Tamandua tetradactyla: one gene and its partner. The protein of the gene in region 1 binds, or shares a complex with, the protein of each later gene. Links are inferred from orthologs where the notes say so. Each region holds a gene or a part of one and is shown on either strand. Other genes may lie near its edges.

Region 1 (15,268 bases):
TGCCCACAAACCCTCTGCTTCCCCAAGCTTCATTTCCTCCTTTTCCTCCACATTTGTGCATACGCACTCACACACGTTCCTGACATATCGGTTCCTTCTCCCAGGGCTGGGGACTGAATCTATTTCTCATCAAGGCTTGCCTCTGTCTGAACAGAGACTCCGGAAACATCACCACCAAAACGACAACTGAAGGAAGCCATCATCTACCCATCTTTCCGTAAGCGTCTACTGAGACTTTCTCTGTGTCAAGCACTGGTCTAGAACAGAGCAGTGACCAAAACAAAGATGCTGTCCTTTGTGAAGCGCACACACATGCATGCTCTCTCTCTCTCACACACACATACACACACACACTCTACCCTTTTTTCCTCAACCCAGTCTTGAAACACACTTGGTCTGGCCAAGGTATCCTAAGCCAGATCTCTTAAGACACCAGTGAGAGAAAAACACTCTTTTTACTTATTTGTGAGTGGGCCTGCAGAGCTCCCCTTCTCTCCTGACCCGGACAACCCTCCCTACCCCATTCTGCAGGTTCTTAGAAAGTCTTTCCTAACAGTCTCACACTCATAACCATCAGTCTACCTGGCCTAACTACACCAACCTTTCCAACATATAAATTTATAATTTCTTAAACTTTTTTTTTGAAAGTGGCAAAATCTTTCTTCAAAGAATTCCCATACATAAAGCAACTCAAATCAAAGACACTCTGGTTGAAGCCTCACAGGTTTCTGAGAAACTCTCAAACTAGTGGTCCCAACCCCGTGCTCTGGCTGGGGTGTCCCACTCTTCTCTGCTTCACTGCCTCCAACCTGCCCCTACCCCACCAGAGTTCCTTAGAGTGAAACCTGCCTTTTTCATGTCATTTCCCAGAGTGCTCCCTTCAGGGCTGGGCTCCGGGCACACTTGCTGCTGCTGCCTTAACGTCCTCTGTGGTTTCTGGGCCCTCTCCGACCTCTGTAAATCCTGACCCTGCTGAGAACACCCCTCAATCTCCTTCGATCGCTCACGTCATTCAACCAGCTTCTCAAACTCCATTCCCCTCAGACTCTGCTCACTCACCCCAAATGAAGCAAGAATCTTGAGGATTCCCTTCTCATCTACTCACCACCCCATTCACATGGAGTTTGAGCACAGGGCACCTCAGGACTTGAAATGAAGGCTCCCTGCTGGGAACGAAACCGGAAGACCCAAACAGTGGAAGAAGTTAGCCACCAACAGTGATGATCTGCCGAAGGCCATAAGAAGACCTGAACACACTCAGGTCCAGGCAAAGAGCACGGCTCAGGGAGGCAGGGCGGGAATGTGACTTATGCTGACACTGGAGATAGTTGCAATTGGGATCTCTGTGAGGAGCAAGACCTGCCTCAAGCTTATAAAAGAGGAGCCCATTTTGGCAATCTCATACACACACACACATGCACATGCACGCACACACACGCACACACAGACTTTGTAAAAAGCCTGAGGCATATAGGCCAAATTGCTAATAGTGGTTACTGGCGAGGAGGGGCCAGAGGGGTAACAATTTGCTTTTTCCTTCATGCATAAAGCACACCTTTTTTTCCCCCAATATACAGATAATTGATTATCTCCAATTGATGTTGGAGAAAACACTATGAAGTGCTATGAGCACATCTGGGGACGGGGAGGACCTGGTGAAGCACACCTTCCTTTTGAGAGCCCTATTCTAGGGAGCCTCCAGCCATGCGGCGTGCCATCTTTCTCTGGGCTCTGACTCCAAATGCACGTTTCAGACAAGCTGGGACACAGGCACTCTCTGGGTCACTCAAATACTTCTTCAAGAAGCATTTCCTGAGCCTCTAAGATGCTGCAACCATGCTCGGCATGGAGAGACAGAGAGAGAACTGGCCCTGCCTCTGCCCGACTGTCATGCATTCCAATCTCATCTTGATTTTGTCACCGCTTAGTTCCGTGACTGCGTAGGCAGTGCAAAGGCAGGCTACCCCCGCCCCCCAAAGATAGCCGCACCCTAATCCCCTGAACCTGTGGAGATGCCATGTTACAAGGGGAAGTCAGGCTGCAGATGGAATTATGGTTGCTAATCAGATGACCTTAAGATAAGGAAATGACCCTGGATTATCTGGTGGGTCCACAAGGGTCCTTAAATAGGAAAGAGGGAGGCAGAAGAGTCAGAAGCACAGATGGCCTCCTGAGAAAGACGCAACTGGCCACTGCTGGCTTTGAAGATGGAAGGAGGCCATGAGCCAAAGAAGTGGGCAAACTCTGGAAGGTGGAAAATGTAGGAAAATGGACTTTCCTACAAAGCTTTGAGAAAGAAATGCAGCCCTGCAATCCCTTGATTTTAGCCCAGTCAGACCCATGTCGGGCTTTTGACCACCAGAACCGTAAAATAAATGTGCACTGCTTTAAGCCACTAGGTGTCTGGCAATTTGTTACAGCAGCCAATGGAAATGAAGAAATGACCACTGGGAAGAAGGAACCATTCCTCTGGGATTTGGACTCTTCACCTGGAAAAGCGGATAGACACCTGCCCCTTTCACTGCCAGGTATCTCTGTAAGGACCAAATGAACACCATATATATACATTACTTAACATCAGCAGAAGATGATACCAACACAGTTCCTGCTCTTAGGTGATTTACTGAGCTGGTTTTCCCAGAGGTGTTTGTACAGCCTTCAACAGGAGTATGCTGTCTTGAGACCTGCCAACTGGACTGCTGAGTGGCCCCATTTGGGCCCATGCTCCACCAGGCTGAGGTGCCTCTCAGGATCCAGCTGGAACACTGGCCTTGCCCAACCTGACAACCGATTCCAGGAAACGCTCAAGGAAATCTTAGAAAAGCTCAGCATCCTGACCAGCCACTTTGATCACTCAAATCCCCCTGCCTTTAGCCCTGTCTCCCAGGGTACCTCAGTATCAACCGTCTCCCTGCTGGGCTCTGCGGTCGAGCAGCCTCACTGAGGTCAAAACCCAGGGATGCTGCTTGCCCAATCTCCTCTTGTCAACCCTTCCCAGAGAGCTCACCTGGGGAGGGGCTTTCTCCTGCCGCTTTACCCTCATTGGGTGAATCCTTGCTCTCTGAGGATCTAAACTGGGTGTGGGAAAAGAGTTGGAGGACGAAGCCAGGGGGGAAGGTGCCATCAGTGAAATGTCGGACTTCAGCTGGGGCTGCGAAAGTCTCTGTGGGCGAGTCGGGTGATGGGGGATCTGGGAAGGGAGAAGAGAAGGAAACTATGAGTTCAGGCAGCCAGACTTATTAGCCCCGTCCAGGCCAGAACCCAAAAGCCTGCATCTCGAGGCCCCAGGTGAGCTGCCAGGTGCCCTCTGCCTGGGCTCCACCCTATCCTCACTGGCTCAGCTGTCTTCCTGGAGCACTGCAGCCAGAACCTGTGCCCACACCTCTGGGGCCTCTCCTTCACCTGGGTCGGGGTCCAGAGTTTTGGTCATAGGTCTGCCTCTTTTCTTTCGGACTGGCTCTTCCCCAGGGGGCTCCTTCCATTTCTGACCACGGGGCTTCTTATTTCCTGGCTCTGTAGCAGGGGCAGCTGCAAAAAGAAAAGACCTTATGCCTTTTTAAGAGCCCATGCCTGAACCCTGATGCCCCCTCCCAGGACTCCTCAAGATACCTGCACGCCAGCAGCCTTTCCCCACCCCAGAACACAGGTTTTGTGTCTTACCCAGCCCCCACTTAGCCTTAGATACACCGGCTTCCCAGATGACTGACCAGGAAGCTCCAGTGGACGGAGGCCCCTGGGCCGGCTCCTCTTAGGGAGAGATGGATTGTCCTCAGAGTCAAGGAGGACGACAATCTCCGCTGGCATTTTGGTAGGGTCTGGGTCAGAGTCCAGGTCTTGATCCACAAACCGGCCTGAGTCTGAAGGGGGCAAATACCCAGTGAGCCCCAAACGCTCCACTAGGGCTCATTTTTTCCCTCTGCCTCCCACCCGAGACCCAACTACCTGAGCTGGGTGGGGACGGCTGCTCAGCTCTGATGTCCTGCAAAAGGGCCACCCCTTCGCTCCAGGCCTCCAAGATGTTGCTCTTCTCAGAAGGGCTCAGGTCCAGGGTGTGAGGATGCTGTTCCAGGATGTGCAGGCGAGCCGTGTCGGCCGAGGGGGCCCGGATCTCGGCGCCACACACCATGCACAGCGCCCGCCCGCTGCCTCCTGGGCTGCTCCCCACCAAGAACTCCTGCTCCCAAGACACTTGCTGCTTGGGCTCCTCACAGCCATCACCACCTGCCTCTAGCAGGTTGGGTCTAGGTGGTGGGGTCTTCTCCTGTTGGGTCACTGTGGAGGAGGAGGGGAGATGTTTATCAGGTGCCCACAGCCAACGGTACTTAGAACACGCGATTCCTCAAACTTGATGGTGAGTGTATGTGTGTGTGTGTGAGATCCCTATCCAAAGTCTTTCTCTCCCTTCTCCTGGAGTCCATGAAGCACAAGTCACATGGAACAAAGCCTGTGTGTTTGGTATCCTGCTACGCACACTCCTACACCTTCTTCCAATCAAGTCTTAACATAGGTCTACAGGTTTTTCCCCCATCAGCTGTGCTCATGCATGTCTTCAGCTTCTGCACACCTGTCCAGACTGCCTCGGAAAAATTCCCAGGTTCCTTCATGGCCTTGTTCAACCCATCATCTGTGAAGCCTTCCTGGCCTCCCACTCTGGCAGCTGACTGTATCCACTTCTGACTTCCAGGCCATAATGTACGTTTCTGGACAGCCTGGTACGTAGGAGAGGAGCTACTCAGTGAGCTTTCTGTCACCAAATGATGTACCTGCCTGTTCTACCTGGTGAGAACCCTTTGCCCGTCTCTGATCTCTACCCCTTCCCAGATATCTGCACGGCTCCCTTACTTCCTCCAGGTTGTTACTAAAGGACCACCCTCCCGACTGAGGCCCTCTGGGCCACTCTGTTAGAAAGCTGCCATCCCACCACCCGAGCACCCCAACCCCTGCACTGCTTCGCTTTCTTCCATAGCACTTATCACCCCCTGACCTAACACATCTTACTTGTTTACTGCATCTCTCCACGATACTGTAGGTTCCACGACAGCATAAACATATGACTGTTCAGGCCTGGCACACAGTGGCGCTCAGTAAGTTTTGAAGAGGGAATGGCTCTACCTCCATCTTTTCATCACTGGAATACTCCAGACTCAGTCCCTGGACCCCTCCTCTGTCTACCTCCTTCCTCTGATGGTCTCATCCAATTGTTGGCCTGACAACTTACATATATGCAAATCCAGCAGGACTCTCCCATGCAATCCAGTTAGAGCTCCTGGATCTAACTCTAACTGACCAGTGGTCTTCTCCACTTGGATGGATAAAGACATCTTCAACTTAACACCTGCAAATCCTAACCCCATTCTTATAAACCTCCATCTCCCAGTCATCCCAATCTCAGTAAATGGAAATCCATCCTTCCAGCTGCTCTTGAATTCATCCTCACTTTCCCTTATACTATAATTTTTTCAAGAAGCTTCTGCTTCAGGACCTTTGCACTTGTTATTTTCTCTGCCTGAAATGCTCTTCCTCAACTATCTACCAGGTCCCCCACCACGCTTTGCTTCAATTCTGTGCTCAAAACTCACTGTATCAGACACCTTCCCTGACTACCTGACAACATACCAAATAAAATACTCCAGACACTCTTTTCTCCTTACCCTACTTTAGTGTTGTCTGCATCACTTATCGCCACCTGAGATACTATACTTTTATATTCCTGCTTGACTTCTTCAGCCATTGGAATGCATGTTCCACAAGAACAGGGTTTTGTCTTTGTTTACAGCTGTTGGCATCCCAAGCCTAAGAGACAGCCTGGCATGTAGTGGCTGCTCAACAAATATTTGTTGAATGAATTACCCTCTCTGATCTCCGATTTCCTATCCCTCACAGTGGGGAGAAGGTCTCCCTTGCAGGGCTGTGGAGAGCATTATACGTGACAGTCTGACAATGGCCAGGAATGCAAAACCTCAATAAATATCAGGGGAGGTGGGGAAATAACCTCTTTTGGATTGAAGGCTCAATTATATTTTATAATCCTCCTGATTCTGAAAATGATGAGACAGTCCACATAGACATCATTATGTTCTGTTAAGGTTAAAAGAGCAAGCCGGTTCCCTCCCCTCTCCCATTTTCACAAGGTCTAGATCCCCATCTCTTCTGGATACTGTCCCCAGCTGTGGGAAGAAATACTGGAGAATCTAATGACATTTGTACTCTCATGAACATTAAGTCTTCCACGAAGGTGGCCTTTTCTTATGATTTTCAAGATCCTGTGTATTTGGCATAGGGGGAGGGGAAAGCGAGTTTTCCAGATTGTTCCTCAAATCCCCTCTCCAGGTCAATCTCGTTTTAGGGCGGGTAGACGACCCGACAAGCACTTCCTTTCCAAAACTGGGTGCTGTGTGCAGTCCCATTCACCCCTGGCGCTCTAGAAACTGACACCTGTGGCTTATGCAAGTGGAAGGTCTGGGAAAGGGGAATTATCTCCGGGGCCAGAAAAACCCCGCGCATGGCGCGCCCTTAAGATCCTCCTCTTCGAAGGGCTGCAGCCCAGCCTACCCCCATCCTCCGACTGCCTCCGGACACCCAGCTGTCCGGCCTGGAGGCCTCGCGGCCCCTCGGCCTAGAACACGGCCTCGCGCCGGTCTCGGGGCCGGGAGACGGCGGCCGCAGATACCCAGCGTCGCCCGGGATCCGGCCTCCCGCGCTGGGCCCGGGAGAGGGGGCGCTCGGGCACCGGAAGATCCGGAGCGCGCGGGGCGTGGATCGAATGCTCCAGACCCGGGGCCGGGAGGGGGAGGGGGCGGGGGGGACGGATTCGGGGAGGCCGGAGATTCCAAACCCCGGTGGGGGCGGAGCCAGAGGGCGCCGGGGCCTCAGACCCGAGGGGGAGGTGGGGGTACCCCGGCCCCGACTGGGGGAGGGGAAGCCCGAGCCCTGGACCCTGACGCGGAAGTGGGGGGGGGGTTCCCTCCCATCCTCACCTCTGAGCATCGGCTCGGGCCGCGGGATCACGGCCACCACCGTGGCCTCCGCCTCGTCCTCCCCTTCCTCACACTTGAGCGTCACCTCGAAGCAGTCGAGCGCGGAACCCTCGGCCTTCAGGGCCATGGTGAGGCCCGGGAGGGTTGCGGTCACCGGCCCCGGGAGGACGGGCGCGCAGGCCTCGGCGCCGCAGACAGCTGCCACCTCCCGCCTGGACAGCGCCGGGCCCGCGGCCCGCCCCGCGCTGCCCCCTCCCCGCCGCTCGCTCGCTCGCCGGCCGGGCCTGCGACGGGCGAGTCCAGACCTCCCCGACACCACAGAGCGTCGGGACCCCGGACGGGGAGGGCTCAATCCGGGGCCCCAGCCCCCCGCCGCTCCCTTTTATGGAGGCTCATTGTCCGCGTCCGCCCGGCCGCCCGCATGGGCCCCGCCCCCCGAGCCCCGCGCAGCCAATCGCACGCGGCCCTGCCCTGTCCCCGCCCCCGGGCGCTCGGCTCCTGTTAGAATCCCGGGGACCTGCGGGGAGGCGCGAAAGGCCGCGCGCAGGCTCTCGGCCGCCCCCCAGCGTGGAGGCGGGGTTCGCCCGCGTGGCGTCTAGGCCCCCAAAGTTCCCCCCTGGCGCGTGGGGGGTGGGAGACCCGGTGGCGCGTCGTGAGGCGGCCGGCGGAGGCCGGTGGGTAGCTCAACGCTGGGATGCCAGTCGGGCGTTTTTGCTGCCATCCTACCAGGTGCCCCAGGATTTTGCCCTGCCTCCTCCAAAAGATGCCCAGGGCGGGAAAAAAGCCGGTGGAGGAGTGCAAAGGCTTTGGCACGGAAGAACGGTGACTGAATTCCTGCTGCTTTGCCAGCTCGGCGACCTTGGGCACGTTATGTGTTTTCCTAGGCCCTTAGGCCGCCTCAGACAGCATTTCAGAAAAACATTCGTGGAACCTTCTGGACAAGGGAATGCAAAGATGCAGAGGAGCTCAGTGTAGCGTGGGCACGCACAAACCATCCCCGATGATTACGATTTCCTTGTTCCAAATGTGAGCGCAGAGCTTCCATGAGCTACCCAAGGTCACGCGGCAATCCTTTGAGCGCCCCAAGACCGGAATCCAATTCCCATGACACTGCCGCATCATAATCCTATCCTATTCTGACTTTCACCTCTGGAAGTGGAATGTGCATGTCCCTCTGTTGTATAAACCCTCGTGAGATTTCAACTGGGAAAAAGCAATATATCTGACGCGGAAAAATCCATCTTAAAATGCCATGCCGTAGTAATTCAGAAAATATAGAGGGATGGCTGGAGATCGAGTGGGCTGGGGTGATAAAGCATGTGAAGGTACTGGTTTATCAATATATATTTTTAAGGAAATAACTGTTGACTTGCAAATGCATCCAGTACTTTACAAGTTTTGCAAGTAAAGGTATTAGTTAGCCTGTTTCATTTCTGCTTAATAGTTGCTTTCTGCCTTTTACCTGGAATCTAGGTGTCGCTTGCCCTCCTGGTCTACTATATTGCTGCAGGTGGCAGTTTCTCAGGCGTCTGGGCCAGCTGGCTACTGGCCTGGGTTTGGCCGATGGGAGACAGTGACAGGAGACTGGAAAGCAGGAGGAAGAAAAAGGCTAGGGTATTTCATCCTTCTCACTAACTTTCAGCCTCTGGCAAGTCTCCAGCAGCAGCAGTGGCAGCAGATAAAGCTACTCTGTGGTTCAGGTCTTGCTGGAGAGGCCTCCTGTGATTCCAACTTCTGCAGGGTGACTCATGCTGGTAGCTCCAATAATTCCTCTATTTGCTTTTCCACTTTAGGGGTAGGGAGCAGCTTCCTGTTTTCGGTCATCTCTGGGTTGCCTCGCTGTGCCACCAATACCCTGCATTAAATTCCATTTTAAATAGATGGTAATTAATATTTAAAAAATTTAGCTTATGTGTGAGACTAAAGCAAAAAATGTTTATTTGGTACAAAATTTATATATATATATATATATATATATATATATTTTACTTTTAAAAAGGGCAATTTATTAAGTTGCAAATTTACTGTTCCAAAGCTGTGAAAATGTACAAATTGAGGCAAGGTTATGAAAATGCCTAAATTAAAGCACCAACAATTTGGTACTATCACTCAAGGAAGGTCAATGAGTTGGGAGTTTCTCTCTCAGCTGGAAGGGCATATAATGAAGTCTGATAGCTTTCTCTCCTGGCCTCTAGTTTCATGAAGCTCCAGCAGGGGCATTTTCCTTCTTCATCTCCAAAGTTCTCTGGTTGCATGGGCTCTAAGGTTTTTTAAGAGTGGTTCCCTCTTTTTTTTTTTTTTGAAAATTAAAACTGCCTTTAATGAAATTGGGTAAACAAGAAAAAGTCTGCAAAGGAAAATGAAAGCATATAGTTTTAAAGTCCTCACCTAAAATATGAATATTTCAAAGTTAAACTTGTTTGATAATGTTCTGGGGAAAAAGAAATTTTACAAAAGCAAGAGGACTACAAAATTTATATTTTGGCTAGTGCATTTCCTAATATAATTTATGCAGACGGCTTAATTGAACACCATAAGTACATGGAACCCAGAGTAGGGCATGAGATTTTGCTGGTTTGTCCAGAGTGATGCCCCGATAAATCCCAGAAGGATTTGAACGGTGAATAAAAAAGTATTTGCAAAAAAAAAAAAAAAAGTGAGAAAGGGGGAAAATTCAACTTCCCCAGGTTGAATTCGTGATATTCTCATAAAGAGTGGGGACAACCAAAGCTATAGGCTGAGCCCCCAATCTTGGGGTTAGGTTATATGAAACTTAACCCCACAAAGGATAGGTCAAGCCTACTTAAAATTAGGCCTAAGAGTCACTCCCAAGAGAACCTCTTTTGTTGTTCAGATGTGTTTTCTCTCTCTCTCTCTCCAGCCAACACAACAAGCAAACTTACTGCCCTCCCCCTGTCTATGTGGGACATGGCTCCCAGGGGTGTGGACCTTCCTGAGAGTCACCCCCAAGAGAACCTCTTTTGTTGTTCAGATGTGTCCTCTCTGTCTCTCTCTCCAGCCAACACAACAAGCAAACTTACTGCCCTCCCCCTGTCTATGTGGGACATGACTCCCAGGGGTGTGGACCTTCCTGGCAATGTGGGACAGAAATTCTAGAATGACCTGAGACTCAGCATCAAGAGATTGTGAAAACTCCTAGAATGAGCCGAGACTCAGCATCGAGGGATTGAGAAAACCTCGACCAAAAGGGGGAAGAGCGAAATGAGACAAAATAAAGTGTCAATGGCGGAGAGATTCCAAACAAGAGTCGAGAGGTTATCCCGGAGGTTATTCTTACACATTAAGTAGGTATCACCTTGTTAGTCAAGATGTAATGGAGAGGCTGGAGGGAACTGCCTGAAAATGTACAGCTGTGTTCCAGTAGCCATGTTTCTTGAGGATGATTGTGTAATGATAGAGCTTTCACAATGTAGCTGTGTGATTGTGAAAACCTTGTGTCTGATGCTCCTTTTATCTACCTTATCAACAGACAAGTGAAACATATGGAATAAAAATAAATAATGGGGGAACAAATGTTAAAATAAATTTAGATTGAAATGCTAGTGATCAATGAAAGGGAGGGGTAAAGGGTATGGTATGTATGAATTTTTTTCTGTTGTCTTTTTATTTCTTTTTCTAAATTGATCCAAATGTTCTAAGAAATGATCGTGATGATGAATAAGCAACTATGTGATGATATTGTGAATTATTGATTATATAGATGTAGAACTGAATGATCCTAAGTTAAGAATGTTGGCGTTTGTTATTATTTTTTTAATTAAAAAAATTCTATTTTAAATACATAGAGTGGGTCCTATTTCCTGGATGGCCCTTGTGTGTTACCCAAGACTGTACCTGTCACTTTGTATGCATTCTTTTAAAAATCTAATTTATTTATTAATTTATATTTTTTTACATGGGCAGGCACTGGGAATTGAACCCGGGTCTCTGACATGGCAGAAGAGAATTCTGCACTGAGCCACGTTTGCACCACCCTCTAATTAATTTATTTTTAAATGGGGTGACACATATGTAAGACAAAAATCATTTTAAGTAATCATTTAAATAATTTGACATTAAGTACGTTGACAATACTGAGGTAAATTTTATCGGCTCCATTTTATGGAGCACAAAGTTGAGCTTTAGACGGTTAAATTATTTGCCCAAGGTAATACAGCAAGAATCACATTTCATCAAATCTAGGATGAACAGGGTTTTTTTTTGTTTTTTGTTTTCATATTTTAATATCCCTAAAATGGGATACATACTATAATTGAAAGCAAAGTGAAGTTTTAGGAATACCCCAAGAAAGTAAGAGATAGACCTTCTGAGAAACAGACCATGATGTTCCCAAGAGAGCATAAAAAATGAGATTTAGACAAGACCACAAAAATGGGTTTGACTTTCTGAGTGATTGCTGCTTCTAGTAAATGACAACTCCAGTCTTGCACTAACCCTCCTGGATAAACATTATAAAGACACCCAGCCTCTGAATTTTCCCTGCTTTTCAGAAACGTCCGATTCCGAACTGGTCTTGGTTTCCCTAAATCCTCTGCAGAATCATCTGACACAAGCCCAAATCCTTATAGAGACACCCCTGAGGGTTTCCCTAGGGTGCATTTTCCTTTACTGCGACAAGCTAAATAAAGCTAACCTACTTTTATCTACAAGTGTGTGCTGGGTAATCTTTAGTCACAGGGCTTTAATAACTCTAGCCAATTTGTTTTGCTCACATTCTCATTTTTATACATAAAAGAGTGACATATAATAAAAATCTATGTCAGAATGAGTAAGTCTAAAAGGACTCTTTTACTAATGATAAAACTATGCTTTTCACTATAGTATCATGCTATCTCTTAGTGAGCTTTAAATTAGTTGTTAAATGAAAGGTAGGTATCATTAGCTCTCATATATATGGATGAAGAAACTGAAAAAAGTAAGTCGCTCAAATCAAACAACTACAGCCAGTGACATATGCAAGACTCTGATTGCAAAGCCTCTTTTCCATTACTCTGAGAAAACTCTCTCTGCACCCAGGGTATGAGGGGAAAGTTCCAGATTATCTTAGATGGAATTATTATGAATTCCCATCCACTGGTTACATAGGCAGTGCTTAGTGAGTAATTGCTAAAGGAAATAGAATCTTAATTGTTGGTATATCCCCATGTGGAGGAGAGAGGGACAAAGGAGCTTTACCAAACAAATTATGTTTGGCAACTTGTCTTTTGACCTAGTGAACTTGGCCTTGGGGTATGAGATTCCTCAAACAGCAGCAGGACAGGGATGCGAGTGGATTGCCTCTGTCTCAGCAATAGCTGCTCCAGGCCATTCCCCAGATGTCCTGAGCTGGGATGAAGCATTTCTGCGTGGTACAGGTTTTACTGGTGGTGACGAGACGGGACAGAGAGTAGGCACTACAGGAAAAAAAGCTAAATGAAGCACTAGGTGGGAGGAAGACTGTTCCAAGACTAAGAGAGGGAGCTTCGTTCCTACCTCACTTGGCATTGCGTAGTGGTCTTCAGCAAAAGCCATACAAAGAGTATGTTCTTTGGCTTGGCAATCCTATCACCAAGCGTTATCCTGAAGAAGTCATTCAGAGAAGAGAAATAACGGCTTAAAGATGTCGATCGCAGTATTCACCACACTTGAACTCTTCATTATTTAAAACGGAGCAGCTTATCCTTCCTGACTGAAGTTTTATTCTGTTCTCACGAGTAGTCAGAGGTCCCCTTTTTTCCTGTTCCCAGCCTCAGCCGGAACCCCTCTACTGTGAAACTCATCCAAACCGCACTGTAATTATGTTGGCGTATCTCTGTCCTTCACAGCCTGGGAGTACATGGAAGGCAGGCCCATCTCTTGTCCATCTTTGTAGTCTCAGCATTGGTCCAGGGCGTATGATCTTACGACCAGCTCAGTGCCTACACCTCTGAGGTCTTCTTGCAGAGACCTCAACTCAAAACTAGCTTGAGCAAAATGGGGGGATTTATTGGCTCATGGAATTCAAGGAAGGTTTGAATGCCTGATCGTGGAAGGACAGGGATACAGGCAGGCTTTAGGGATAACAGGCCACCAGGGAATTTTTGCCATCTCCTTGTCTTTGCTCTTCTCTGGGATTCAGACTTATTCTCTCCTGGCTCCCACACCTTACCCCACCGGCCAGGAGATGTGGCTACTATTTCTCAAAGACTAGCTTCTAGCTGTGTCCATTTCAAACTTCATTTCTCCTTGAGTATCCACATGTACATCTGGTGCTGGGCACGGTGGGACAGGCTTATATCACCAAATGACTTCTAACCCTGCATCTCAGTACCAAGAAGTGAGGAGAGGCAGCTTGGTGAGCAGAAAGAAAATTCCCAGAACCACTCCTCCTTAGGGACAGACAGCTATTAACTGGATAGGGAAGTGACTATGAACTACTTAGCTCTATACCATTTCACCCAAGTTAAAATGTGCTAAACTTAGCTTCCCCTTATTGGAAAATGCCAACTACCCTTCCAGCTCTGCCTAGCATGAAGGGAAGACTTGTGGAAAGGAAAGCAGGGAAAAAACTCAGCCAATCAAATGCAGTCAGAAAATTTGCAATGAATGAATATGAACATAAAAAGCATTAGAAATAACCACAATATCTGAACACTGGAACTGGCTAATTAAATAATGGTGTATTAGGCTGTACCGAAAAAGATAATTACAAAGATTAAAGCAACATGGAAAAACAATTGTGAAATAATGTTAAGTGTGAAAACCCACAAACATTTATATGCTATGATTATGCAAGCATAATTTATGGGGGCAGATCATTGGTAAAGAAAATGTGTACAAATACTTCAAAATGTAGTAAGTACCGAGTGGGAGAAAGATCAAAGGTGATGGTGGAATTATACAGAGAAGGTCAGGTTTAACAGACAAGTATGACTGCTGAATCATTATATTGATATTTCTTTTAGTCTTCAGTACCTTAGAGCAGCTAGAAGTAAAAACCTAAAATTGTAGAATTATAACCCATACCAAACTCTGAAATCTATTCCATAACTAATTGTTGGGATGTATTTTGAAATTTATTGCTTTGATGTACATATGTTATTTAAAGAGAAGGAGGAGTATAACAGAGAAGATGGGATTTAATAAATGAATAGGACTGTTGAATCATTATAGCTCCAGTGTCCTGGAGCAGCTAGAAGAAAAACAAAACAATTGTGGGACTGCAACCCATACCAAACTTTAAAATCTGTTCTATCACTACTTGTTAAAATGTACTTGGAAATTTATTGCTTTTTTGTATGTATGTTATATTTCACAATAAAAGAAATTTTAAAAATGTAGTACCATAAAAATTCATGCAAACTTTTAAAATGATAACACAGACCTATATAGAAAGGTATCCCTGATATATTAACTGACAAGAGATTACAAAATAATGTTTAACATAATCCTACTTTTGTTAAACATAGCGTCTGTGTGTTTTTATATACGTAAGAAATTCTATAAGAATAAACTTAAACTGCAGATGATGACATTAGGACTAACCTTTACATTTTGAATGTCATCATTCCTTAATATCCTTCGAGCTCTGTTTCTGTTGAAAACATTTCTGTACCGCCTGATGTTTTTACTTTTATAATCAGAATGTAAAATATAGTCGTTTCTATTAAAAAAAAATAAAAGATCCGTTTGCAACAGACAGTCAAAACAGGCAAATCCTTCCTGAGCAGGAATGGTTACCATTTGGCCCAAATAGCTTAGTGTTTCCACTGACTCCACTCCCTCCTGTAACAGGATTGCATGCTTGCAGCCTTGTTACCTTGAGGCTTTTTAGTGCCTCTCATCAGGCAGGGAAGACCTTCCCACCTCACGGACTCTGGACTCAACCACGTGATTTCCCATGGCCATGGAATGTGAGCACACAAAGTAAGCTGTGTCTTTGATGAGTCTTTACATCTACTTGTTTGGTCTCTGGGGTCTTGCCATCTGCCGCCAGAAGACCATGCCCCAGATGAATGGCTGCTTCTTCAGCAGGTGTCCTGGAATGAGAGACACACGGAGAACTGGAACAGACTCAACCCAACTGGAAGCCAGTGAGCAAGAAATCAATATCTACTGTTGTAAATGAGTGAGTTTCTGGGCTGTCTGCAAAATTGCCACAGCAGAAAACTGACTAATACTCTAGATGCTACATTCTGCCCCAGAGTCCCTCGTTGTTGTTCTTTTAATGTGTGTGTGTGTGTGTGTGTGTGTGTGTGTGTGTGTGTGTGTGTGTGGAGGGTGGCATTAAGGGGACAAACTGTTTTGGATTG
Region 2 (15,680 bases), on another chromosome or scaffold:
TTGGTATATGGCAGCACTGGGCCTGCAAACTGCTGTGGCAACTACTCCACCTTGCCCTGTAGGTCCTCCTGGAGCTTCTCTATCTCCTAAGCCAAGAATACATCTTTAGCTCCTCGATCAAGGGCCCAGCTATTGTAGGATACTCACACCACCAACCTTAGAAGCAAGAGGAAATGGCCTGGGCTTCAGTCTATTCCACCTGCAGCTTCCAATTTATTCTTCCCCACTTTATATCCACCTTCCTTTCCTGAATGCCTACCCTATGAACTTCCAGCTCCAGCATCAAGGACAAAGGCACAACAACCTTATAGAAACTGCTCAGCCAACTCCCAAAATTTTGTTTAACTCAAATCCTTGCAATCCCTCAAAAAAAAACAAATACTATAAACACATACGCAGATACATATTTTTTCCTCCATTTATCCTAGTAGTTCTGCTCTTCTAATTAAAGCCTAATTAAATAGTATAATTAAATATTACAGTATTCTAAAAAAAGGCAGTTAAAATTCAACAGATGTTTACTTATTACCCATATATATGCTAGACACCTGCACCGTGGACAAGATACTTAAATACACAGCCTCAATGTTCTTACTGGATAATTCTACCTTTCTCACACTGATAATCCAGGCTCTAAGCTAAGTACAAGAAGAGTAACTGTGGGCAAAATCAGGAACATCTCTGCTTTTATGAAGCTCAGCTTTCTGGGGAAAACTAATTAATTATGTAGGCAAATGTAATATTTGAATTTTGATAAGCACCAGAAAGGAGAAATTGGTATCTCTAATAGGAGAACTTGACTTCAGGGAGGTCAAAGAAACTTTGAGAAAAAGTTAATACTTGACAAAATTGCATAAAATTGATGGTCAAAAGCTGGGTAATGGAAACATGGGGGTTCATTGGACTATTCTCTTTACTTTTATAATGAAGATTTTCAAATGCACACAAAAAAAGAAATTTAAAGAAAAAGCGATGCTTAAGCCAAACTCTAAAAGAAGACTAAGAATATCTGAAACAAGCAAAGGACAGCATTTCAGGTAGTGCAAGCAGAGAAAGAACAAGCACCAAGATCCCTGGTGAATGAGAAGATAGTGAGTATGAGAGACTGAAGAAGGACAGTTATGTCTACAGCAAAGACAGCAAGAGGGAATAAATGTGGTACAAAATGAGGCTGCAGCCCAAAAGGATTATATAAACCCTTGAGGCCATGTTATGAAGTCCTTCAAGCAATGCCCTTAAAAACAATGAGAAGTCAATGAGGGTAAGTAAAGGGTGACACACTCAGATCTACCTTTAAAACGGTAATTTTTTGGCACTAACAAAGTTGCCAATGTGTTTACCTTTTACCTAGCAATTTCACTATTTTAAAACTACACCTGCACAAATATAAAACAATGTGTCACAAGATTACTCACTGCAGCAATATTTACAACAGAAATAGAATTTAAAAACCCAAATGTTTATTATTAGAATGCTGCCTCAAAAGGGTGTGAAAAATTTACATAGAGATATGAAGTCATCTCCAGACTAACTTAGATAAAAAGGCAGAAGCAAAAGAGCAAACACAGAATGCTATCTTTTGCACAGGAAAAGAAAGGGCAAAAAAAGTTTCTAATTATATTTGCAAAACTGAAATACTGGAAGAATAAACCCAGAAAATAATAAAAACGGGCAGGAGAGGAATGAGTAAAACAGACATAAATGAAAGTGACACTGTGAATGTTTTTTTATATAGTTTTACTTTCTTTTGGGTGCATGGTCTGGGAATCAAACCCGGGTCTCCTGCTTGGAAGGCGAGCATTTTTCCAATGAACGATCTGTGCATCCAGTTTTGACTTTTAAGCTACACAAATGTTTCACACATTGAAAAAAACTGCACTAAAAAAAAAATTAAAGTAACTCCTAAAAGTGAAGAATTTCAAGCAAATACACGAAACTAATTATCAAACTGATAACATAAATAAAGAGAATATCACAATCAAATGACTGAGAATATCAACTGTACATCCTTATAGGGTCACCATTTAAGAAAAAGAACTATAACCAAGTATAAATCTAGTAGTTTCAATGTTTATAAACTAATAAGTACTGATTTCCAAATATTTGTATTTTAAGATACAGGAAAGTATTGTTGCCAAGAATGCAAATTTTCAATGTTAGCAAAAAAAGGATAAAATCAAAGATAAGTAAAAACCCTGTAATGTTACATTTGAATTAGGAATATGAATAAAAAATCAACATCCATACTACCCCCAGTCTGTCCAATGAAAGTAGTAGCATTCCAGCACCAATGAGAACAAACACAGCACCCAAATTTTGGTATCTAAATTCCACTCCCCAATAAAAGGAGCTAAAAGACATGTAAAGAGCCTGGTACAGCTTGTGCCAGAAAGCAACAAATGTTTCAAAGATCAGTGGAACCATGCATGAAAGTACTCCCAGGGGCCAAAGATGGGACAAAGTGATGAAAAAAATTACTATTCGATTAAAATACACAGAACATATAAAAATCCATGGGTTCACAATCAATGTTAAGAAAGAAAAAGCAGAGAAACTCTCACATGCACACACACAAACAAAACCATGCAAGAAGAAAAATGAAAAAAGCGCTCTTTCTTCTGTTAAGCTGTGCCAGGACCCAAAACTCAGATTAGTAATATTAAATAATCATTTGCAGGCAAATCCAAAATCAAACATAACTTGTAAAGGGACATGAATGCAAGTAACACTGCGCAAATATTCCTTTTTATACAGTTCTGACCTTTTTTTCTTTGGGGGGCATGGTCCAGAAATCAAACCTGGGTCTCCAACATGAGAGTTCATATCTAAACTGTAGGAAAACCAAACACAACTTAATACAAATATAATCTAGGTGGGATCAACAATTCCCTCCTGACCAAAAGGGGGAAAAGAAGTGTAACTAATAAAGTATCAGTGGCAGAGAGAGTTCAAATAGAGCCGAGAGGCTACTCTGGAGGTTGTGCTTATGCAAACTTCAGTTAGACGTTGCTACCTATCATAACCTGCCAAATCCCAAGCAAAAACATTACAGTAAATCCTAAAGAACACCTAAGGCAATATATAAGATTCCACAAGGGTTCCATGCAGTAGAGTAACTTTCCAGACATCTACAACCTCCAGATAGGTCCCTGGACCAGATAAGCCCCAAAACCTAGGGGCCCAGCCTCTCCAAAACATCAGATAGTTCCATCTCCTGACACCATATTAGTGACAGGCCCTTCCAACATGAAAAAGTTGGAATGGCCATAGTCCAAACACCCTTAAAGAGAGGGAAAGAAAGATCAAAGGTGATAGCGGAGTTACACAGAGAAGACAGGACTTAACAAATGAATATGATGGCTGAATCATTAAACTGATATCTCTAGTCTCCAGTATCTTAGAACAGCTAGAAGCAAAAATCTAAAACTGTGAAACTGTAACCCACGTCAAACTCTGAAATATATTCTACCTCTAATTGTGGTGCTGTGCTTTGAAATTTATTGCTTTTTGGTATGTATGTTATTTTTCACAAAAAAAGAAAGAAAGTCAATTGTGATGAAAGAAAGGTATTCAAGCCTTTTAGCCTCCTATATTCTGGAACAGCTAGAAAGAAAAATCTGAGAGGATCATATGGTAGCCCATGACAAACTCTGGGATCTGTCCTATAACTACTTGTTGAAGAGTGCTTTGAAAACTATTGCTTTTTCATTTCTTTGCTTTGTATATAGGTTACACTATAAATTAAAGTTTACATAATCTAGACTAAAAAAAGGGCTTGTCCTTGTAAGTCTTTTTAAAAAAATCTCAAATTTATTAAAAAAAAAAAAAAAGCCTTACCTAGACTCTTCATTTACTCTCTCAACATTCAACATTGTGATGAAATAATATCCATGCTGAATGGAAACTGTCCAGTGGGGCCCAAGCCCCCGAAGGTGAACACAGTAACATTCTAGTGAGTCCGGACTTACTCCCCCTGCCTCAAATGACTTTAATCATCTTCTCTAACAGACTAAACTCTGGAAATTAGGTATTTCATACTGGCCAGAATGTTCCAACAATCTGTTGTAAAAATTATCCTTCTGAAGCACAGGCCTGATTAATGTCGCTACCTTTCAATGGCTTCCCACCATCTGTAGGATAAATGCCAATGACATAAATGTGAAGCATTTAAAACCTACCTCCAAAAAACAGACCAACCATATCACACTATGAGTGGTGGTAAGCAGTGGTATCGGTATCACCATCATCACCACCACCACCACCACCACCACCACATCAACCAGGCCCTTACCATATGCTAGAAGCTGCACAACCACTTTATCGAGCTGCCTCATTTAATCTTATACCTAGTGAAGGAGGGATTATCACCCCATTTTATAGGTAACACTGTCACGCATGAATAAAAGGTAACAGTGTAGGAATAAAATGGTTGTGATTCAAATTCAGGACATACGACCTCTTTTCATGCCTGTGCTTTTGCTGTTACCATCATCTAGAATTCCTTTACTTTCCTACTTTAACATTCTTGAACCAACTACAGCATTATCTTCTCTTCCAAGATACCCCTTAGCACAGAATTTCCTCATTATATGTATGTGTAATCTTCCCTACCAGACTGTAAAGTACTTTAAGGTATTTATGTACTTATATCTATACATTATATCTTTACTGACTTGTTTCAGAAAGTGGTTTCAAGGCTTTAAAAAGCTACCCAATAAAGATCTAACTTAAAATTAATAAACTGGACTGAATACTGAGGCACAACTAAGCAAACTGTTAATTTCAGCATGAAAACAGAAAAATCATACTAATGACTACTGCCAAGTTCAAAAGTAGGAAGGGGAAGGAAATCAACTATTATTGGCCCTAACCACTATCAGGAACAGTACTGGGAATTATACAAATTCATTTAATTCTCACAATAGCTTTACATGAGAGGTTTCATCCAAATTTAAAGTCAATTTGAAGAGTTTGAAAAAGGCTGCATGACGAATCAGATATATAGCTTTGGACGAGTAAGCAGTGGTGCTCAATTTCAACCCAGATTCTTCTGATTTGAAGGCCATGTTAATTCCATGTTTAACTCCAGACATCTTTTTCACAATACCATAACGCCTTCCACTGAACAAATTCCTTGGGTAAAAGAATTGATTCTCTTCTTCCAACTTCTTTTCATTCAAAGGAAAAGAAAAAAAATTCAATTTAGTGCCTAAAAAACATAAAGAAGAATTTACATGGATATACACCAATTGTTCTTTCCCAGCAAATTGAGATTCTAACAGGCAGGCCATAAGAATGTTCAAGCCATTCTTTTTAACCTCTAAATGATCCACATAATTAATTCTTCAAAAACAATAGTATCCTTTTCGTTTATTTCTAACACACTAGGAAAAAAGATGCTAACAATTAAGAAGAACTGTTGGTAAACTTGTTACTGTTCTTAACAATGTGTGCAATCATTTAAGTCACTGGGAAGCAAAAATGCATTAAATATCTTCTAATTAAGACTTCTGGCTAATAGAGCTCATAAAAACTTATCAATACAGTAAGAGCCAGATTATAGGGAACTGCCCATAAAATGCACAAGAACACACAAATCACATCACCACCACCCCCTCCTCAGTTCACAATTAAGGGAGAGGTGCTATTTTCTAAGATATACCATAAAGACACCAATGACCATACTTTCATAATCTAAGTATGTCCCAAGAAATATCAGCTGTTTTCTGATTTCCTTGATGCTAAACAGACACCCTACCAAACCAAACAAGGGTTCTGGGGCCAAATAAATGCAGAAAAGGCTGCAATATTTTTCAGCACCTGTGGCATCTCATTGAACAAGAGTCACAAAGAATGCCACATTAAGCAACACTGCTAAAGACATTCCAAAGCAAAGTTATCGAATCCCATATTGTCATTATGTTCCTAACTGGTAATTAAAGGCACTGTCAAAAACCTACTACAGTGAAATTTGGGGGCTCAATAAGGGTTAGAAAAAACAAACATGAAGAAATAGCAAGGTGTATACTGGTCCTTTTGTCTTACATATTTCATACACTCTTAACAGTAACTATTTCACTACTTAAAAGATTAAAAATTTAAAAACTCAGTTTTATTTCTCATGAGAAATACCAACTACCCAGAGTTTTGACATATTACGAAACCTTAACGTATAATTATTAAGGGTGGGTCATGAACGTTCTATAAATTACTAGCAACTCTAGTTGTTGGTGTTTGCCCATAACTAAAGCTGGAGGTGGGAAAGGAAGCATCAATTCACTTGATCTCTTTTCTGAAATTTCACAACCTCTAAGACCACGAACTCCGTAAGTCCTGATATAAATCGCCAGGTTTAGCTTTAATTCTCACTTCCTAGTGACAGTCACGTAGAAAACAATTACTGTACAAATCAATCCTTTCAGACTGCACCGACTTCATTCCAGAAAATTCGAACAGAGGAAAGTTATATAGGTTTTCGCATTTGGGTACGTATATCCGCTTTGGCACAAATCACGTTGGACAGTGAAATCCTTTAAAACATTTCATTATCTTGTACTACTTTTTATGTTCACGGTAAAATAGCTCAACAATGCACAGCCAAAGAATATGTCTGGAAAACTCTCTCCAAATAACCGGAATCCCGATGAACAAATTAAAGTAAAAAAAAAAAAAATTACGTAAATAAACTTTGAGGTACTTATTAAATAACATATATCACTGAAACCACTACCAAGATCAAATCTCGTAAAATCAAGAATGCATTAATGAAAGAACCTAACAGAAAGCCAAACCAAAACGCACTGCGTAGTTACCGCACCAAAAATTAATCTGAAGAAATTCCTAGTAGAATACATTCAAGGTCACTTATGATGGGGGAAAAAATGTGTCGAAAGAAATGCATTCCCAACGTCAATTCCTTATCCAACAGAAGGGCTGCCGAAGTATTTAACAAAGCCAGGAGAGGGTGCTGCGGCTGCCGGAGGACCGCATAGGATGGGAAATGTGCTAGTGGGCGTTATTGGAAGCAACAGAAAACATGCCTTTTCTATGAATCCAACAACTTCCAAGGACTAAGGGCTCCTCCACTCAAAAGCAACGCTACCTTCAAAACCCAGTACCCCTCACCCTGGGAAAAACAGGGCTACGCGCAAGTTCGTCTACCCACTAACAGAACCATACCCCGCAAGAGACGCGGCAACCCCGGGATTAGCTGCAGACACCCCAGACCTGCCATCCCACCCTCCCAACAGCAGCGCGGACGCAGCCTCCACACGAAAGCACCGCTCTCCGCCCGGCCCATCCGCGACCCAGGTGGTACCGTTTCTCTTCCTCCTCGCCCGCGACGAGCCGCGTCCAGCGCGCAGAGAGACTAGGCGTATTATGCAACACTGAACATTTCGCCGCTGCCAACGATTTTGGCGCATCGTCCCCTCCCCCACCCGCCCTCGAAAATACGCAGAGGCGAAGCCCCCCGCCCCCGCGCGTTCCGGGCTCCTCCGCCTGTCGCTGCCGGCAGACGCCGACAGCTGGGACTGGCCGGAGCCCGCAGAACCTTACCCCGCGCGGGCGGCGGCGCCGGCGCCGAGGAACAAAAGCGGCGCTAAGGGGCCGGCGGCGCCGGGGGCGCGGGGTGCGGCGCGGCGGCGGCCATGTTGGCGGGCGGGGCGCGCCGGGCGCCCGGGACTCGCTGGGCGGCGGCGGCGGCGGCGGCGGCAGAGGAGGAGGGGGCCGAGCGCGGCGGCGAACAAAGAAACGCGCAACCCGCGCGAGGAGGCCCGGGGAGGCCCGAGGAGGCCGAACCGCCTCCACCCCGGGGGTCGTCTCGGCCGGCAGGGGGCGCTGCGCTGGCGCGGCCCGGCCCGGACAATGCGCCGCCGCGGGGCACGGGCTGCCGGGCCGTCGGGCAGCGTTCACCTGGCACGACTTGGCCCGGGCCGGGCGAAGGCAGCCCCGCGCGGAAACCAGGGAGAGACGCCGACGCGCGCCTCACGCCCGCGCCTTCTCTCGCGGCGGCGACGCTGCCCCCGGAGCGGCCCCGTTCCCGCCCGCGGCGGAGAGGCCTCACCTGCCAACCCGCTTGAGGGCCGCTGTCCACAAGCCCCACGCGGGTTTTCGCCGACCCTCTTCTCTCAGGCTCCCTGCCCTGGCCCCAACCCGAGCCAGACGGCGCCTCCCCGCCCCCGCCAAGCCTCTCTTCGCCGCCGCCGCCCGCCTCCCGGCCTCCACGGCGCACGCGCACTGGGCCCGCCGAACTGCGACGGCCCCGCCACCCCGGCAGCAGACTCCGAGCCGGGCCGAACTGCGCAGGCGCTTCCGGGTGGGGGCGGGGCCTCGCGGCTGCTCACCTGGCGGGGCGGGGCGTAGCGGAGTATCGTCCTGGCTTGGAGGCACTGCCAGGTGCGCTAGGCGGACGCCAGGCTGGAGTCGCCTACGCGTTCGAAGTGCGGAGCTCCAGGAGTCTTGGGAGCAAGGTGGGTGCCGTTTCTACCAAAAGTTAGGCAGCTTGGGAGGAGTTTAGTTCTCGTTACTATGAAGACTTTCTAAGAGACGACTAGGTGCTCTTTGTCCTTGGATGTAAATAGTGAATCCTTCTGAGGCGTGCATACCCCAAGGATTTATGAAACTGGACAGAATGGCAAGAACATGCGCAAGAAAGGTGAGCTTTAAACGATAGAGAACATACTAGCTAAAATTGCAGTCGTTCGGGACCGCAGGACTTAAATCCTATAAAAATGCATATAGATTTGTTTCCTGTGATTTACTAGAACAGACGCCTTCCTCTTACCGCTGCCCTGCGAAGAGGTCTAGCGTCAAATCCCGGTCACCCCACAATCTACTTCCATGTAAAAAGCTATTTCTAGGTATTTCATGTTAACTTAAACCCCGAAGCTTCTCCTGCAAGATTCCTGACCTTACCGAGGTTGAGGGGTGGGAGGGCGGCTGGGGGAGGGGGGCATGATTTCTGCAAAGCCAGAAGTTTCAATCTGTACCAAGCCTCCTTCCCAAATGCAAGAACCCACCCACTCTCCTTGCGCGGTTAGAACCAGACATTCCCACGCTTGCGCGTTAATCTGTCCTTCTGTTTAGGTTAAGATACGCTTGGAGTATTAGGTTTACGTTGCTTGCACGAGAAGGGGTGGGGGAGGGAATGAAGCATGGAGAGCAGTTTTGAATGCTTCAGAGTGGACCGAAGGACATAGAGGCTGAATCCGGGTCTGCATCTCGCCGCCCGCTCCCATCCCGCCCCACGCGGTCACTAGACCTGTGTCCTGAGCTGGTCCCACTCCCTGTTCTGGTTCCTCGAGTGCGACAGCGCAGCCCCAGCACCCGCATGATAATAAACCGTCTCCCAGAGTGTTGTCGGCTCACGTTGCCGAATGCAATATTGGAGAAAGCACTTTGTTCACCCTAAATTGCAGAGCACCGAATGCAGTATTGGAGAAAGCACTTTGTTCACCGTAAATTGCAGGGCATTTGTGAGTTAGTGTTCTTTGGGATTATCCTGGCAACTTTTCTTCCAAGTAATTTTGTGTGCCTACACAAACAAACTGGAGGGCACATCTTAAATGACACGATGTTCATAGGCTAATTAAAGGGTTAACAAGTATATATATCATAAAATAAATATATTAAATAGTACAATACATCATTTTATATTGTTTATTTTATATTTTTGTATATATTTGTTATTGGTATACAAATAAATATAATAAATGCACATACATCGCTGTGCTCACCATATAATATTGAGAAATTGCATTCTTTTGTGTCCTTTTGTGTGTTTAATTTTTGTCTCATGAGACAATACAGGAGAATCTGGAACAAGAAGGAATGGGAAGCAGATATGTGCTCAGAAGTATGCTAGTTGGGACGCTTCAGTATTATAGTGACAGGTTTCTCAGTCTGTCGCTATTGACATTTAGGGCAAGATAAGTCTGTGCTGTCGGAGGCTTTCTTTGCATTGTAGGATGTTTGCAGCACCCCTGGCCTCTACCCACCAGAAGCCAGTAGCACACATACACCACCCACAACCAAAAATACCTCAAAACATTGCCAAATATCCCCTGGGGGCGGTGGAGAACCACTGTTTTAAATTTTATCTCTAAAGATGGTCAGATTGGGAGCTTATCAAGAATGCTCAGGCATGGGAATGCACATGGCCCTATATCAGAAAGGGCCCCACTTCCTGGTCTTTCTGCCATCAGCATTTCAATTACCTTCTGAAGCCTTGCTCATTAGTATCTTGTCTTAGGTTGCCAGGGCTGCTGTAACAAAGTGCCACAGAGTATTTGGCTTAAACAGCAGGAATTTGTTGTCTCATAGTTTGGGAGACTAGAAGTCAAAATCAGAGTGACAACAGGGCCATGCTTTTTCTGAAATTGGTTGCATTCTGATGCCGGCAATCTGTAACTCAGTCTCTGCCTCTGACGCGTGGCTGTCTCGCTACAGTCTGCCTCCTAATTCTCCTGCCTGTGACTTAATTCCTTCTGTTTACTGGGACCCCTGTCATATTGGATCAACTTCGGCTCACCTTAATACCATCTTCAAAGATCCTGTTTACAGATGGGCTCACATCTACAGTGCCAGGAGATAAACCTTGAGCATGTTTTTGGGGGGGACATGACTGAATCCATAACACATCTTGAATTTCAAAAATGGGTTTTTACATGACCCATGTGTATCTGCTAAAAACGTTTAAAATGAATCTAATCAGAAAAAATCAGACAAATCCAGATTGAGAGGCATTCTGCAAAACAACTGGTCTGGACTCTTAAAAACTCAGTATAAGCATCCCTGGCCTCTCTATGCGCTAGAAACCATTAGCACACACATCCATCGCAGTTGTGGCAATCAAAAACATCTCTGTATATTACCAAATATCCCCTGGGGGCGATTGAGAGCCATGTGACAGAGGCAGAGAAAAACAAAAAAGGTAGGGAATTATTCCAGAATAAAAGAGACTATAGACTACTCCAGTGCATGGCCCTTAAGTGGAAAAAAATAAAAAGCTACCATGGAAATTTGGGGGGACAATTGGGTGCTCTGAATGCATTACGGAATCATCTTAAACAATGCTCTTGTTCTCAGGAGGCACATAACAAATTACTTAATTCAAGTGTCCAGATGACTACAGCTTACTTCAAATATTTCAGAAACAAGTACATTTTATATATAAAGAAAGCAAAAGTAGCAAAATGTTAAAGTTGGTGAGACAAGGTATAGGATCCATATGTATTCATTGTGCAATTATTTCAACTTTGGAAAAAAAATGTTCAAAATATAAATTTGGAAAAATAGAAGACAGCATAATTTCATGAATTTCTAGGATACTTTAGCCACACTGTTCTACTTTTCAGGCAGCTCCTGCTCGCTTCAGTTTCCCAGTCTCACAGAAACTCACCAACAAGCCCTTCCAGAAACTTAAATTTTCTAGTCAATTTATTTGTAGTTTCTCAATCACGCTGGAAGATTAGGTTAGAAGGGCCTACATAAATTTTTCCTCCTGCAGGAAGTTTATTGCTGGCAAGTAAATCAGCATGTTAATAGTCTCAGCCTGTAGCTCCCACTCTGTTTTCATCTTCTGCCCTATGGCTAGAAAACTCTCGGGGCACCACTCATATCTTTTAAATGGGCTCCTACCTGGAGAGAAAGTTCTGCCACAGGGATGAACACACTTGTGATATAAGAGTGGAAAGAGGGAGCAATAGCAATGAACCTCAGAATATTCACTACACTGACTCTTATGCAATAATCAGAAAGAGACTCAAGGCAGCCTTTCCAAATTAGTTGTGTTTGTTATGGAATTATTCAGCACAGCAAGAAGTATCCAATATTTACCCATTTGCATTAGCTAAACCTCTAGGTGGGTGGGCTTGATGGTTCAGCCTCCAGCCTTGTAAGAATGCTGTCTTCAGATATACAAATAGACTTTTGCACATTGATGTTCAGGGTGGCATTACTCACGATAGCCAATGGATGGATGTGGCCACAGGGTCCGTCGACTGATGAGCTGTGCTGTATACATAGAGTGTTGTGGGGCTACAGAAAGGAATGTAGGCATGAAACAAGGTGAATGAAACTTGAGGATATTATGTTAACCAATATAAGCCAGAAACGAAAGGACAAATATTGTATGGTCTCATTTAGAAAATGCTTATAAGAAAACTAGGGCTTAGATTGTAAGCTCTTAGAGTAGTCGTATTTATTCCTGAGTTTTAAATGTTATTTTCAAAATGCTGAGATGCTGTACTCTTTGTATGTAACTTGATAGTTCCCTGGATTTATGGTTACCTGTGTGATTCAGAGTTAGACTCAGAGTTAAGAGTTCTGCAGCTCTGAAAGTCAGCATTACTCCATACTGCGATGGTTAAAAGATGAAATAGAGTTCAGACTTCAATTAGAGATATGAATGAAGCTGATCTGTTTGGGACTAAGATAAATCAGAATACAAGTAAAGGATGTATAGTCTGCATATTAAAACTTCAACTTCTGTATGAGACCAAAGGAAAAGAGGTGTATTTTGTCCAAAATCTAAATTTTCTTAGGCATACTATCTAACTTAACCTGTCTAACCAGTTTATTTGCACATCCTAAATACATAGAACCTAAAATAGAGAATGAAATCTGATGATTCTGTATAGCTTAATGTAATACCGAGATACATTCCAGAGTATTTTGGGCAGATAATAAAAAAGTATGTATAAAAAAAAAGGAATGCCATCTTCCCCAGTGTCACATGAGCTATCCTGTGATTGATGTGCTAAGATGCTCCCATCAAAGCTAGGTCCAGAGCTTTGGCATTTAAGCTTTGAGTGAGTGAGTGACATCTGGTCCCCATGCGGCAGGAGCAAGTGTCATTGTCAAGCTGGAAGCTTTCAGGGTTCTTCAGCAACCCTAACATAAGGTCCTTCAGTATGGTGGGGGTTCATGCTGGCTCTGCCTCTCTCACCCATGGCTGTATATGCAGACTTGGCAAATCTACTGTGTGACTCCTGATTAGATGGTGGCCCTCTATGGTACAGCAGCAACCCTCCTATGTTGGTTCTGATAAGGTGCTTAGGCCAGATCTACCACTGAGAGTCAACTGATTGATGCACACTACAGGAGGAAACATGGGGTCCAGGGCTGAGGAGACCACAGCCCATCTGGATGGTCAGCAATGGGACCAGAAAGAGGGAAGGAGTTGAGAGCATAAGAAGGAACAAGGTCAGAAACAAATAGTGTTTCTGTTCAGCTTTGCCTGAAACCCTCCAGGCTTCCATGGAGGAAGATACATTCTCTGTGCCTTTTGCTTTTGTTCTCTGCTGTACCTCCACTAGCCAGAAAAAGGGTTCATTAAATATTCCACAGAAGACGATTTAAGGCCTTCAGGTCAGCTTCCCAAGACATGCTCTACACCTTTAATCTATGAGATTTCAGAAATTAATCCTCCAGAGGAAGTAATGTGGTTAGAAGGAAACACAGACGCTTTAGATGCAGTTGCAAGATCCAGGGTGATCCTTACCTCCTCTTTGGTCCAGCCCCCACTCTCTGACACCTCTCCCATTAACCCAAGGCTACCTCTCTAAGGTCCAGCTCAACCTGCAGAGCTCAATATCTGGAAGGGCCTAGCCAGCCTGCTTCCCAGAACCCCTTAGACCACCTGGGCCTACACTATAGTTTCTTCCTATTCTAGGGTGAAGGAGCAGCTTGTTGCTATCCTCTCTCCTTGAAAGTAAAGCAGCAGTGGTGTTAAAAGAGTGTAGGAACGCAGTCAGGAAGTCACTCTCTCTACACTCTTTTTTTTTTTTTAGCTTAATGACTTGCTCCTGGAGCTTCAGAAAAATCAAATGACGATGTCATGCCCCTTCCAGGCTTCTCTCACACAATGAGACTGTCAGCGTGACTGTCCTGCTGAATGAAGAGGAAAACCAGGGGCGGGCCGCGGTGGCTCAGCGGGCAAAGTGCTTGCCTGCTATGCCAGAGGACCTCGGTTCGATTCCCGGCCCCAGCCCATGTAACAAAAAAACGGAGAAACAGAATACAATAAAACAAGAAAATGTTTAAAGATGTTTCCCTTTCTTCCTTCCTTCCTTCCTTCTATCCTTCCTTCCTTCTCTCTGTCTTTCCTTTAAAAAAAAAAAAAGAGGAAAACCAGAACATCCCTTTCAGTCACTCACTCATCAAATATCAACTGAACCCCTAGCGAGCTCGAGGCACTGCATTAGCCTCTGGAGGGGATACTGTGTCTACATACATAAGCATGTTTACGCTTCATGAAGGGAACAGCACATGGCACTCAGAAAATGTTTACTGAATGAAGGACTCAAAGGGCAGCATGGCAATGAGCAGAGCTCAGCCATCTGGTCAACTACGTCAATCTCCCCTGCTCCACTGTTACCTCCTTCCAGGTTGTCTTATGCACAGCAGGCAGATAGAGATTTTTAAGTGTCTCCTCAGAGAAACTTTCCCTGACCAGATACCAAAGTAGATTGCTCACTCTCACTCTCTCTTACTTAAATCCTTGTTTGTTTTCCATCATAGCACCTATTTCCTTTTATAATTGCATGTAGTATTGAAATATTTACTTGAATATCACCAGTTCCCCCACAGGATTAAAAGGCCTGGAAGGCAGGAACAAGATCTGTTTTCATTATCAATATATTCCCTGGAGCAAAGTCTATTCAACAACTATTTGTTATAAATTAAGGCATAACTTGTTCTGGGAGTTCTGGGTTGTATGGATTTGTTAGGATATGGGCTTATGAAAGGTCTTGAATGCCAGGAGACTGGGTACTCTAAACTCTCCTTAACCAATCTCACTGGGTTATGTCAATAACGAAAGATACGATATAAACTGTGCAGAATTGCACACATGTAAGGGACTCTCACCATCCAGTACAAAACAATTGAAGATGATCAATCAGCCTTGTAGTAAGAACTTTGTTGAATCAGTCTGGTTCTATCTAGAAAATTCTGAAATCTAGGAAACCACTTAAAAGTTTACTGTAAGAAACTTTGGGAGACATGATTTGAACAAGATGCAATGCTCATGAAAATGATCATTTTCAAACAGTAAGCAAACTGGTTATTTGATGATAATAAGATGTCATTATTTTATAGTGGGGGACTATCTTAATTTGTCAGGACTGCTTTAACAAGTTACCACAGGTCAGTTGGCTTAAACCACAGGAATTTATTGTCTCATGTTCTGGGGGCCAGAAGTCTGAAATCAAGGTGTCAGCAGACTGCAATCTGTAGGATTTTGTTGGTGGCTGGTAATCCATGATGTTCCTTGGTTTGTGGCATAACTCAGTCTCTGCCTCTGTCACAGAGCTAGCTATCTCTTTCTCTCTTACTCACTGTGTCCAAATTTCCTCTGCTTATAAGGATAGCAATCATATTGGAGAAGGGACCATTCTGATCCAATTTGGACTTATCTCAAGTAATAACATATTCAAATATCGTATTTCCAAGTAAATTCACATTCACAGAACCAGGGGTTAAGACGTGGCAATGTCTTCTGGAGAATACAATTCAATCTATAACAGAGGGTGATAGTGGCATAGTGGTGAAGGTGAAAAGGAGGGAGTGATCATCATTTAGTGATATGTTCCGAAGGATTTTCCATTAGAAATTATGTCTGAGATTAATTTCAACTGCCCTCCCCTTGCATCTGAACTTGTCTTTGTGACATGCTG

What was found.
Region 2: the proteins of SPINDOC (region 1) and SPIN1 are in contact, whole or in part, in a crystal structure (PDB 7CNA), measured with the Homo sapiens proteins. The link is inferred for Tamandua tetradactyla from reciprocal best matches to the Homo sapiens genes SPINDOC and SPIN1. Residues at the interface, in NP_612480.1 of Homo sapiens: Phe256, Ala258, Pro259, Ala260, Val262, His264, Phe265, Thr266, Asp267, Ser269, Phe270, Pro271, Gly273, Phe274, Val275, Leu276, Gln277, Leu278, Phe279, Ser280; in NP_006708.2 of Homo sapiens: Met154, Thr169, Tyr170, Glu171, Pro174, Pro206, Val209, Val210, Leu213, Lys216, Gln217, Val218, Glu219, Tyr220, Thr229, Val232, Val242, Tyr243, Ile245, Phe247, Asp249, Asp250, Tyr254, Val255, Tyr256, Asp257, Leu258, Val259, Lys260, Thr261.

Annotation. Positions count from the first base shown.
Region 1 is NC_135335.1:10,771,899-10,787,166, forward strand, and holds the start of SPINDOC (spindlin interactor and repressor of chromatin-binding protein), read right to left. Parts: upstream 7,192-15,268; 5' UTR 7,105-7,191; coding exon 6,978-7,104; intron 4,273-6,977; coding exon 3,943-4,272; intron 3,858-3,942; coding exon 3,708-3,857; intron 3,529-3,707; coding exon 3,403-3,528; intron 3,191-3,402; coding exon 3,008-3,190; intron 1-3,007. UniProt on the Homo sapiens protein: Chromatin protein that stabilizes SPIN1 and enhances its association with histone H3 trimethylated at both 'Lys-4' and 'Lys-9' (H3K4me3K9me3).
Region 2 is NC_135328.1:11,366,444-11,382,123, forward strand, and holds the start of SPIN1 (spindlin-1), read right to left. Parts: upstream 8,180-15,680; 5' UTR 8,066-8,179; intron 7,579-8,065; exon of another isoform or gene 7,558-7,578; intron 7,429-7,557; exon of another isoform or gene 7,319-7,428; intron 4,251-7,318; exon of another isoform or gene 3,838-4,250; intron 2,831-3,837; exon of another isoform or gene 2,762-2,830; intron 1-2,761. UniProt on the Homo sapiens protein: Chromatin reader that specifically recognizes and binds histone H3 both trimethylated at 'Lys-4' and 'Lys-9' (H3K4me3K9me3) and is involved in piRNA-mediated retrotransposon silencing during spermatogenesis.